Rattus norvegicus: one gene and its partners. The protein of the gene in region 1 interacts with the protein of each later gene in a biochemical or structural test. Links are inferred from orthologs where the notes say so. Each region holds a gene or a part of one and is shown on either strand. Other genes may lie near its edges. The genes, in order: Txnip, Ptpn11 and Slc2a1.

What was found.
Region 2: the proteins of Txnip (region 1) and Ptpn11 are reported together in a solved structure, tested with the Homo sapiens proteins (2 studies listed by BioGRID, with this or other methods). The link is inferred for Rattus norvegicus from reciprocal best matches to the Homo sapiens genes TXNIP and PTPN11.
Region 3: the proteins of Txnip (region 1) and Slc2a1 form a complex in vitro, tested with the Homo sapiens proteins (2 studies listed by BioGRID). The link is inferred for Rattus norvegicus from reciprocal best matches to the Homo sapiens genes TXNIP and SLC2A1.

The regions. Positions count from the first base shown.
Region 1 is NC_086020.1:186,780,566-186,784,868, reverse strand, and holds the start of Txnip (thioredoxin-interacting protein), read right to left. Parts: upstream 2,937-4,303; 5' UTR 2,747-2,936; coding exon 2,497-2,746; intron 2,110-2,496; coding exon 2,037-2,109; intron 1,932-2,036; coding exon 1,784-1,931; intron 1,672-1,783; coding exon 1,569-1,671; intron 1,437-1,568; coding exon 1,180-1,436; intron 1,086-1,179; coding exon 929-1,085; intron 821-928; coding exon 669-820; intron 548-668; coding exon 503-547; 3' UTR 1-502. UniProt on the Homo sapiens protein: May act as an oxidative stress mediator by inhibiting thioredoxin activity or by limiting its bioavailability.
Region 2 is NC_086030.1:41,049,986-41,053,630, forward strand, and holds part of Ptpn11 (tyrosine-protein phosphatase non-receptor type 11), read left to right. Parts: intron 1-932; coding exon 933-1,125; intron 1,126-2,502; coding exon 2,503-2,619; intron 2,620-3,036; coding exon 3,037-3,150; intron 3,151-3,645. UniProt on the Homo sapiens protein: Acts downstream of various receptor and cytoplasmic protein tyrosine kinases to participate in the signal transduction from the cell surface to the nucleus. Positively regulates MAPK signal transduction pathway. Dephosphorylates GAB1, ARHGAP35 and EGFR.
Region 3 is NC_086023.1:138,023,006-138,026,650, forward strand, and holds part of Slc2a1 (solute carrier family 2, facilitated glucose transporter member 1), read left to right. Parts: intron 1-2,373; coding exon 2,374-2,534; intron 2,535-2,683; coding exon 2,684-2,924; intron 2,925-3,612; coding exon 3,613-3,645. UniProt on the Homo sapiens protein: Facilitative glucose transporter, which is responsible for constitutive or basal glucose uptake. Has a very broad substrate specificity; can transport a wide range of aldoses including both pentoses and hexoses.

The DNA of each region.
Region 1 (4,303 bases):
GGTCTTTTTTCTTTGTAAAGATATAAAAAGGGAACACTGATTTTAAAAAACAAAAACACTCCTCGCTTTCAAAATATTGGCCATGATTTCTCTTTTTCTAGTATGTGACATTGGCTCTGTTGCCCCATGGCACAGAAGTTCATGGTCTGTTCTTTTAATTCCCTTCAAAACAAAACACCTTGGAAAGACCATGCCTGAAGGTCACTTAGACCCCGACTCAAAAAAATAACAACTTCTTCATTTCCAACATCTGGGAAAGTGGGCCAGGTCTGAATGTTTTGAGCGTTCCGACATTCACCCAGCAAACACTCCTATATCACGGTGCGGGCACTGGTCTGCACCCCTTGAGGCTGGAGACTTGCCTACTGATTGCCACCCATCTGTGGAGTCAGAGGCGGGGGTGTACCCACTCCCCACTGGAGAGACTGAGTCTCTGAAACATTGGAGTTCAAGCAGAGAGGCAGAAAGCGTTGAGTAGTACAGATGAGTCGTCCCTGAAGGCTCACTGCACGTTGTTGTTGTTGTTGTTAAGGACGCAGGGATCCACCTAGGGGGAAGAGCGAGGAGACTTTCAGATTTTTTAGGTAAGTAGAAAACCCACACGAATCCCTTCCCTCAGAAGGCCTAGGACAAAATCTTGACCCTTAAAAAAAAGTAGTGACTCTCACCTCAGTGTAAGTGGGCGGAGGCATGAACTGGAACTCGGGGGCGTACATAAAGATAGGGCTGTCTTGAGAATCATCCACATCATCTAGCAGGGGGGTGGTGGGGCTCTCCAGTCTGTGATCTTCAGGAATCACGTCCATATAGCAAGGTGGAGCTGAAAAAGAGAAAACGGGGTCAGAAGTCCAGCTAAGAAACTCCCAGGCCACCCCAACTCCACAAGCCCAAGCAGGTCAAAACGAAGAGTTTATTAGCTGAAGCTTACCTTCTGGGGTGTCTGGGATGTTTAGGTCTATCCAGCTCATTTCAGAGCTTGTCCGGCTAGCCATGCTGGATGTCCGGCTGCTTAGGCCCGACCTGCTGCCAATCACTAGGGGCAGATCGAGGATGACTTTCTTGGAGCCAGGGACACTAACATAGATCTAGGAAGGAAGGTGGGAGTTTGTTAGATGGGTTGTGTTAGAGGAGGCACTGACTTTGCACCCAAGCAACTATTTCTCTTCCCTCCTCACTCACCAGCAAGGAGTATTCAACTCTGAGGATGTTGCAGCCCAGAATGGACGGTCTGATCTTCTGCACTCGGAGACTCTTGCCACGCCATGATGCGCAAGTCCCTGAGATAATGTGATTGCCTCTGACTGAGGACAGCTTCTGAGTGAGCACTTTGGTCTGGCCATTGGCAAGGTAAGTGTGCCGGGCCACAATAGCTGCTTTGGGGACCACGATTCGGGAACATGTGTTCTCAAAGTCAGCGTGGATGGAAATGTCATCACCTAGAGTTGAAGAGGAGGAAGGAAGAATATCCATTAAATTTAACAGCATTTCCTCCGCCTTTATCCCACAACCCCCTCCAAACCCCACAGCTGTGGCTATCCTATCTGGTATTATAAGCACTGGGCTTTTACCTTCACAGAATCCTTTTCTGTCGATTCGAGCGGAGACTGACACGCGTCCATCAGGAATGAACATGCAGGAAACTTTCTTCTCCTTTTTGGCAGACACTGGTGCCTGTGAAGAAGGAAATAATGTTTTGAGCTATTTCAATGCCTCATGCATCTAATTCATTATCTCTGACCAAGGAGAATAAAACCTTAAAGAAAATAAAAGAAAAAAGCCTCACCATTAAGTCAGGAGTATTGACGTCCACTAGATCCATCACTTCAAAGTTTTTCTTTGCCTCTTGAGTTGGCTGGCTGGGACGATCGAGAAAAGCCTTCACCCAGTAGTCTACACAGCCATATTTCCCTTTGAAGGATGTTCCCAGGGGCCTGTGTCAAAACAATGAACAAAAATTAATGCTAAGAAATGTGAAATATCAATGGAGGGGGAAGACTTAGAAATAAAGAGTCCATGGTGCGGTCGGTGATGCCTACCCTTGAGGAAGCTCAAAGCCGAACTTGTACTCATATTTGTTTCCTGGTCTCATGATCACCATCTCGTTCTCACCTGCGGGGAAACAAAGGCAAGGGGCCATTAGACTTCTTGTTACATTCCAAATGCAGCATCAGTGAGGAGTGCCTGGGCAGCAGACTGTCTTACTTCCACACTTTCATCTCTCACACTAAGGAATAAGATTCCCCGGGACAGAAAGTTGCACAACCCACGAATACATTAATCTTTACGTAGCTAAGGCAACACCTTCAGGAAACAGCACCCCAGAAACTGTTCCAATTACTATGGGGGGTGGAGGAGGGTAGCGGAATAACTTGCAAATTAAAAGGTAAAAATATAGGGGCCAACAGCTCAAACCATTCAAACGATCGACTCGAAACATTTAGTGGAGGCCCCACCCCCAGCCCCATAAGTCACTATCCGTCCTGCCAAGAGCTGTACCTGTAGGCTGGTCTTCTAGGAGAAGGGTGTCTTCATAGCGCAAGTAGTCCAAGGTCTGTTTGCACTGCTGAGACCCTTGCATCCACAGGACCTTGGCCACACCGCAAGCCAGGATCCTGACGGCTTTGACTCGGGTAACTTCACACACTTCCACTGTCACCCGGCCGGCCACCTTCTCCCCGCTGCCATACACCTTCTCAGGGTCGTTGAAGACCACCTCAAAAGACTTGATCTTCTTGAACATCACCATGATTGAGCCGAGTGGGTTCAAGAAAAACGGAAGCCGGAGAGGAAAAACTCTTCAGAATCCTTCTCAGCAAACTAAGAACTTAAGTCTCTCCGTGAGGCAGAGAGGGCTTAAAAACCCAAAGAAAGCCTCAAACAAAACCTTAACAACTTCTCTAAAAGGTGCCTGAAAGTTTCAACCAGCTGGTTGTGCCAAAAGCTTTCAGGAGAAAAATAACAGCTGTTTTCTCGCAACTGGAGGAACTCTGGATATCCAAAGACCAGAAGAGGAGAGTGTCAAGCGGGAGCCGGAAACGGCATTATATAGCCGCCTGGCTTGACGCTCCACGCGAGTGCTGGCCCGGAGGCTCGTGCATCCCTCGTGCACAGTTCTCCCATTGGCTACTTGGTCCTTGTTTACCAGGCCTCTAACCAATCAGCGAGGCCGCAGAGGCGCGTGGACACAGTGTGCTCTTAGCGGGGAAAATGGTTGTTGTTCGGGTGCGCAGCCTTGCCAGGGAGGAGGGGCGGGGCCTGGGGCAGCGGGTGGCTCCCTCGGGAGTCTGGGACCCCGAGACCCTGAACCTCATCCAGGGTACTCCTCTCGGGAGCTGGGTTGTTTGGGTGTGTGCTTTGTTGGTTTTTTTCCCCTTCTTTTTTTAGGTAAAAGAAAAATGTGCTTAGGAGAGGATTTCATGCCTGTCTTAGCCAGCGCAATTCATTTCGACGTGACCATTTATTCCTGGCTCACAAGTTCGCAAGTCTGTGAAAAACAATCCCCAAGGATACTTCAGGATGGAGCGGAGGGCGAGAGTGCAGTTGTGTTAGTGAGAAAGAGCCTACCCGATGTGCTCCCATTACACTTCTATTGAATAAAACGCTTCCATCTCCCGGGGGCGGGGGACTTGTCAGATATTTTAAGTCTGGCTTAAAGTCCTTATTGGTACATGGTCTGGTGTGTACCCCTTCGTTCCATGCCCTATGTGCTGCTATTGTTCCTCGCCCATTACGTTCTATTCTGTTCTGTTCTCTGGAACGGAAGCAGTAAGGGAGTGTCCACATCCTGTTGCTTATCCCCTCATCTCTTCAGTGTACCTGTGAGGTTGGGGAACATTTTGTATATGTTCCCTTATTTACCTCACTGTAGCTTTAGTGAGGTGTGTACCTTTACACTGATCTCTCCCTTCGTCCCTGCTCCTCCAGGAAACAAGGGGTGGGTACAAACAAACAAACAGGGGGGAAGAAAAAGGAAGAAAACGATCTGTCACTCCTTACTTTGTTCCCGAGTTCCTGTCACTCTTTTTTTTTTTCCCCATTTGTCCTCTCATCAAAATCACTAAATGAAATGCATACCCCTCAGCCTGTTTCAGTCTCCCCAGGGCTGAAGCTGTATTGGTTTCACTTGGCTATTTGGCAAACCTTGCTGAGAAATGCTTCAGGAGCTGACTAGAGAAATAACTTGAGTGCAAAGAAACTCTTGTATGTTGAAGGACTACCCACCACTCCCTGACACCCCAGGGCCCCTACCCTATTCCTCACCCACCTCCTCCCACCTCCACCCCGCCAGAGCCTTGTCATTGAG
Region 2 (3,645 bases), on another chromosome or scaffold:
GGACCCTGGAAGCAAGAGCTGAAGCCGAGGCCAGGAAGGAGTGCTGTTTGCGGGTCTGCCCTCTTGGTTTGCTCAGCCTGCTTTCTCGTAGCACCCAGGACCACCAGCCAAAGGGTGGCATTACCAACAGTGACGGGCCCTCCCCCATCAGTCATCATTAAGGGAATGCGCAGTAGGCGAGCCCACAGACCAGTCTGGTAGGGACATTTTCTCAGTTGAGGATGTCTCTTCCCAAATGACAGTAGCTTCTATGAGGTAGACATAAAACTAGCCGGTGCACACGAAATGTAAGTGTGCACCACCACAACTAGGCTTGTCACATCCTTACTTCCCTAAATGGCTGTAACACACAGCTGGTTCATTAGGGTCAGGGACTAAAAAGTCAAATTGTGTCTCTCAAAGATGGGAGATTTAAAAGGAATTAGGAAGCATTGAGGATATAGGGGGTCTTGTTTGTTTTGTTTTGTGACAGGGTCTCTCCATGTAGCTCTGGCTGTCCTAGAATTCACTCTGAAGACCAAGCTGGTCTAGCACTCAGACCCACCTGCCTCTGCCTCCCCAGTGCTCGGATTCAGGGTGTATACATACCATCACCGTCTGGTGGGCATTATTTTCCAGTGATTGAGAGGAGGCCAGGAGTGATGGCAGTGCTTACAATATCAGCTTAGGAGCCTGAGGCAGGACGATCTACAGCTCCAGACCAACCTGGGTCACATAGTGAGACTGCCTTAAAAAAGAAAACTGGACTTTGGTTGTCATTTTTAACATATCTTTGTCATTTTTCCTGTCTGAGGTGTAGATTCTGTCTGTCAGACACTCTGCCCCCTAGAGGAAGCTGTTAGCCAAGGGCCTGTGCTGGGGAGAGCTGAGTGAGGGTGAGCATGCCGCATCCTGCAGCCGAACTCTGCTTGTTCCTTCAAACATGCACACAGGTGGTTCCACGGTCACTTGTCTGGAAAAGAAGCAGAGAAGCTGCTGACAGAGAAGGGGAAGCATGGCAGTTTCCTCGTCCGGGAGAGCCAGAGCCACCCTGGGGACTTCGTCCTCTCCGTCCGCACTGGTGATGACAAAGGGGAGAGCAATGACAGCAAGTCCAAAGTGACCCATGTCATGATCCGCTGTCAGGTAGGGCGCCATGGGGACTGTGGGCCCACTGCGGCTGCACTGGGGGCTTCTGCTGAGAGGACGAGACCTCAGCACTTGCAACTGTCCTTCTGTGCTCGCTCATGCACATCCTGTGTGCATCTCACCATTTTGAAGCACTCTTGTTTTTTTCCTTTTTTGTTCTGTGTTTTTCTGTTGGCTTTTTTGTTTTTCTGAGATAGACTGTATGTATCCATGGCTGTCCTGAAGCCTACTGACTGGTGACACTGTGCACTTGGCCCTCCCAGGTCTGTGAGTGCATCCCTGGGGTCAGCAGACTTCAGAAAAGCATCCTGTGTCTATCTGAACACATGCAGACTTCTTCCTTGTCACATTCCCTAGAGTACAGCATCACAGCTGCATACGTGACATCACGGGAGCAGTGATGCCAGGCTGAGGCACTGTGAGGAACCTGGCGGTGATGGGAAGTGTGTTCATCATGATAGAGTTTACATTTGATTTTTTTTTTTAACGTTAGTATTTTTTTAAAATTAATTTATTTTATTTATGTGAGTACACTGTAGCTGTCTTCAGACACACCAGAAGATCCCATTACAGATGGCTGTGAGCCACCATGTGGTTGCTGGGAATTGAACTCAGAACCTCTGGAAGAGCAGTCAGTGCTCTTAACCGCTGGGCCATCTCTCCAGCCCATTACATCTGATTTTGATTTAATTACATTTTATGTCATCTGTTGTCTTTGGTGCTGGGATGGAACCTAGCACCTGTTCCACCACTGAGCCGCAGTCCCCTGCCTCACCTGCTTCCTCAGCACCGCTGCTTCCTGTCTGGGAGTCAGTCTCTGGGCTTCAGTTGACACAGTTCAGGGTTCCGAGTCGGCTGAGTCAGTGTACCCGTCACTGCAGAATGCTTCTGCCGCCCTCCCATCCAGTCTCCAGTGTGTGGAGCACTGTAGTCATCTGAGGCTCCTGAGCGTCTGCGTGACCGTGTCACCAGTACTTTCCTCTGTCCCTAAGTCCTTCACAGTCACTGATCTCTTGTCACTGTGTCGGACTTTTTCTTCCTTGGATGCTACATGTAATGAGGGGACATCGTGTGTTCCTTTCGCACTTGGCTTATTAGAGTTACTAGGAGGCTCTCCTGCCTTATCCACTTGCTACCGATGACAGGGTTCTCTTGTCAAAGGCAAGTGTGGCTCCACTGTGATGACGTGGGCGCGAAGTATGTTAGCACGGTATGTTAGCATGGTACGTGTGTGCCTTGTTCTCATCGTGCTCTCTAGATAGCCGTGTGGCTTGTTTCTGTGTATAGGCTCGTGTCACTGCGCGCGGTGGCTGCAGTTGGTGGAAGACAGTAACCTAGCTGAGCTAATGGGCGCCATCTGTTTGGTCTTGAAAGGAGCTGAAATATGATGTTGGTGGAGGAGAGCGCTTTGACTCTTTGACAGACCTGGTGGAGCATTACAAGAAGAACCCCATGGTGGAGACACTGGGCACAGTCCTGCAGCTCAAACAGGTTAGGAAACGGAAGCTGCTTCTCCTCAGGGTTGAGAGAGTTCTACCATGGAGTCTCCCACATGCGTGTTCTAGTCGACTTGCGTCATCATGACAAGATACACGAGGGCTGGTTAATAGGGGAGAGGGCTCAAGGGGTCCTACAGCCACTTGACCCTGTTGCTTTGGGCCTGTGCTGGCATGTTTACCATGGTGGGAACACACTCGGTGCATGGGGATTACCGTGTGGCTGAGAGACAGACAGGAAGGGGCCCTGATCTACTTCAGCGACCACAACCACCATACACACACGCACAAGCACATGCACACATTTGGGATGATGTACCTCCCGCCTTCGCTTTTGTGAAGTCTTTCTTTCTGCATCAATACTGTTTAAAACATGCTTTTTCCCCTTTTCCACCACTGCTGAACTTAACAGCCCCTCAACACAACTCGTATTAATGCCGCTGAAATCGAAAGCCGGGTTCGGGAGTTAAGCAAGCTAGCCGAGACCACAGATAAAGTCAAACAGGGCTTTTGGGAAGAATTTGAGGTAAGTTACTGACACCTTGTTTTTACGTGCACTGTTAGGTGATGTTTGAGTGGGTGAGGGGGACCCTTGTGCTGGGCCTGGCTTCCTTTGCTGTGTGTGCAGCAGGTTGCTGAGGTGATTTCTCTGAAGCAGAAGGGCATTGTGTTTCTGGGAAGGGTTGGCAGCTGGTCTCAGACAGGTGAGCCAGCAGCTCCATTTACTTTTTGGTTCAGACCACTGGCAGGACCCCAGGAAAACAAGGCTAGAATTCCTCTGCCATCCCAGGGGCTTCAGACAAACCACAGCTTCAGTGCTCTGAGTGAGGCCAGGAGAAGGGCCCTGGCTATGAGTTCACACGATGGCAGCAGGAAGGTTAAGGGGCTGACTTCAGTCCTGAGCCCTGTCTGTGTGTGAGCCTGTCTGTGGCCCTATGTGCTTATATGCTGCTGACCCGTGTGTCCTCTGGTATGTCTGTCTTTCTCTCCTTGCTCATTTGACCAGAGCTTTGCAGACAGA
Region 3 (3,645 bases), on another chromosome or scaffold:
TACCATAAGTGTGTTTCCTCAGTTTCTTCTGGCACTGTAGAGGAAGCAGTGTGTGCCACACATAAAGACCTTTCCGTGACAGTGTGTGCAGACTGGCCATGCTGTAACAGCTGGAGAGTAGCTCAGTGGTAGAACATGTGACCAATATGTGCAGGGCCCTGAGCTTATCCCCAGCACCGCAAAACAAAGCCAGGTAGAAAAGAGTAGCTCTGTGATCCAGCAACATTGGCATAACAGCGTTACTCATGGGTCTGTAAATGTACCCACTGTGCTGCCAGTCATTAAAGTTTAGCACGGGGCTAAACAGGCAAGCACTAGAGCCCTTGCCTAGTGTACCCAGGACCCCAAGTTTTAGTCTTCACTATGACAGAAACATGTCTAGCACACGGTCATGTTCAAGTAACAATACCATATATGACAATAGGGGCTGGAGGGACTGCTCAGCAGTGCAGAAGACAGATTGCTCGTGCAGGTTTAGACAGCTGCCAACTTCCTATACCTCCAGCCCTGGGGGAATCTGACGCCCCCTTCTGGCCCACATGAGCACCAGCACTCAGGTGCGCATACCCACATACAGATAAACACATAGACTTTAGAACAAAATTTTCAAAAATTATAAATGGTAACAGAAGTAGGTAGCTATCATTAGTTTATTGGGTTTATTTTTTTAATCATAATTTTACAGTGAGTTCCTTCTACAGACTAGAACAGCCTGCCCTAAAACACCCTAAACACAGGGCAGCATCCTGGGGTATCTCATGTTTGCCATCCCTTAATTGCATCAAGAACCCTGAATGACCCACACCATTTAGTTTTATTCCAAATGCACTCTAATAACACATTTCAGAGAGTGGGCCCCGTTTAAGTGATGCATGACCGCAATGCCGAAGTCGGTGTTAGAGAAGGAGGAGGTTGGAGCTCACAGCTGCTCACCATGCCCACAGTAGCCCGGAGCAAAGGAGTGAGCTGGGATGAGAACTCGACTGCATTCCCATTCAGAACCAGCTTCTGATCCCTGTGCTGCCTGGCTTCCCTGTGTACAGCAGGTGCTTACTCTGTATACAGTATGTGCTTAGGCTGCCTTTTCCCAATCGAGCCTGGCTTGCTCTGTCTCTGGACTTGACCCACAAACCATTGTGACAGAGCAGGGGTAAAGAGGAGGAGGGACTAGGGCCCAGGACCAGGGCAACCGACCTCGGCTGCCCCACTTCCACACACTTTTACTGCTTTCCTTTCTGCACTCCTTCCTTTCTGCCATACTTGAGGTTTAGAACCAGGACTGGATACCGAGTGGCTGTGCAGACCACGTGCTGTTCCATGCACAGGGGCATGCAGTGTACACCTGTGTCAGTGTGGGGATTGGGTACGCTACAAGTGATGGTGGAGGAGGGGCTGTGGCTGGCCGAAACCGGGAGCCTTATGGGTACATGTGATCCAAGCCCAGCCACTCACATCTATGATCCTAACATTCAACAGGCTGAGGCAGGAGGGTTGCTATGAGCTCCTGAGACCCTGTTTCAAAGAAAGAAAGAAAAAAAGTGAAGTGAAATGCAAGCTATGCTGGGTCACGTCAGGGTGTGGACCAGAAAGTTGTTTCCCTGTGTGTACTTGGGCCTGTCTGTGGCTGCATATGCGCTGGGTGGGTCCGGCTAGGCCTGTGGCACTGGGTGTTGTCAGTGTTGCCTGACAGTGGTGAGTGTGTCAGAACCAGTGCCACCTGCCCATGGCCATATCCTTGGCACTAGGTTAGGCCCTCTGTGGGGGCAGGGCTTATGAGCAAGCCCACACCAGGACAGATTCTCCAGTTCCTGGAACCACTTTCTTGCCTAGGGCCTTTCCCTGAACATCCCAGATGAGCACCTGGAAAGGAAAGGAGGCCTTGGTTCCTTCAGGTGGCGTTTCCAGCCAGCCACAGGGGAGCTGGGCCTGGGAGACAGAAGTGACAGTGTGCCTTGGAGCGTGTCCCTTAGTCCTGCAGGCTCAAAATGCAGAGTCAGTGAGTGTACACTTCCTACAGGCTCAAGAATGGCATAACCTGTCTGTCCAGCTGCCCTTCCTCCCTGGCAGGGGGTTGGGATAGGGCCCAGGGCCTACATACAGCTGTGGCCTAGAGTGTGCAGGGAGCCATCTGAAAGGGGCCAGTTGGGCAGAAGCATTTCTTTTCCTGTACCTTCCTGCTCTGTGCCCAAAGCCAGCTGTCATCCTTGGCCATCTTCCCCAGAGAGTCTTGAACAACTTAGGAAGAGAGCCGAGGAGGACACTGAACCTATACAAAGAAGAGAGCTGGCTGGAGAACACAGTAGTTTGCAGCAGAGCCAAGTTCTGGCATCTGTGGTGAGGTGGCCACACCTACCCAGGCTCTTCTCCCTGCAGGTAATTGAGGAGTTCTACAATCAAACATGGAACCACCGCTATGGAGAGTCCATCCCATCCACCACACTCACCACACTCTGGTCTCTCTCCGTGGCCATCTTCTCTGTCGGGGGCATGATTGGTTCCTTCTCTGTGGGCCTCTTTGTTAATCGCTTTGGCAGGTAAGCAGGAAAGACGCCAGCCCATGTCGTTCTGCATGGGGAGCTCTGGGGGAAGCTGGTAATAGAAACATCCCTGACTATGGCCTCATCCCTGGGGAGCCTGGGGTCCTGGGGTCCTGGGAGCTGGCTAACCTGCGACCCATCCCCAGGCGGAACTCCATGCTGATGATGAACCTGTTGGCCTTTGTGTCTGCCGTGCTTATGGGTTTCTCCAAACTGGGCAAGTCCTTTGAGATGCTGATCCTGGGCCGCTTCATCATTGGAGTGTACTGTGGCCTGACCACCGGCTTTGTGCCCATGTATGTGGGGGAGGTGTCACCCACAGCTCTTCGTGGAGCCCTGGGCACCCTGCACCAGCTGGGCATCGTCGTTGGGATCCTTATTGCCCAGGTAAGCCAGTCTGGGTCTACCTGACCAGCACTGCCTCTGGCACAGCTTTGTCCCTCGGGTCACAGTCGAGCAGAGCTTTTCTACCCAACCCTGCCTAGGACAGCCTCACGGTAGGCAGATCCCAGAGCACACAGGAGCCCCAGGCCCACCCGCCTACAGCTAGAGCCCTTGGCCTTCATTTGGGCTTCCAGGCCTAGAAGCCTTCATGGGTAGGGTATTCCTCTTCTAGAGGTCCCTCCACCCACCCTTTAGTCCTACAGCCAGAGTAGCAACCCCCACATGTGTGCAGACACATTTATACGTGGCTTTATCCCTTGTCTTTTTTTTTTTTTTTTTTTTTTTAGATTTATTCATTTATTATATATAAACACACTGTAGCTGTCTTCAGACACACCAGAAGAGGGCATCAGATCTCTTTACAGATGGTTGAGAGCCACCATGTGGTTGCTGGGAATTGAACTCAGGACCTCTGGAAGAGCAGTCGGGTCTCTTAACTGCTGAGCCATCTCTCCAGCCCTTCCCTTGTCTTGTATAATTTGAGCTGGTTTTGCAGATTCGAGAATGGGGTCAGAGAGGTCCTTCCCTCTCGCCCAGCAGCTGGTGGGCAGGGAAGGCCCGCTTGGTGGCTGGGGTGGATGCTGGAGTAGGGCCAGGGCAGGGCACTCACAGTCCTAGTTTCTTTGTCCAGGTGTTCGGCTTAGACTCCATCATGGGCAATGCA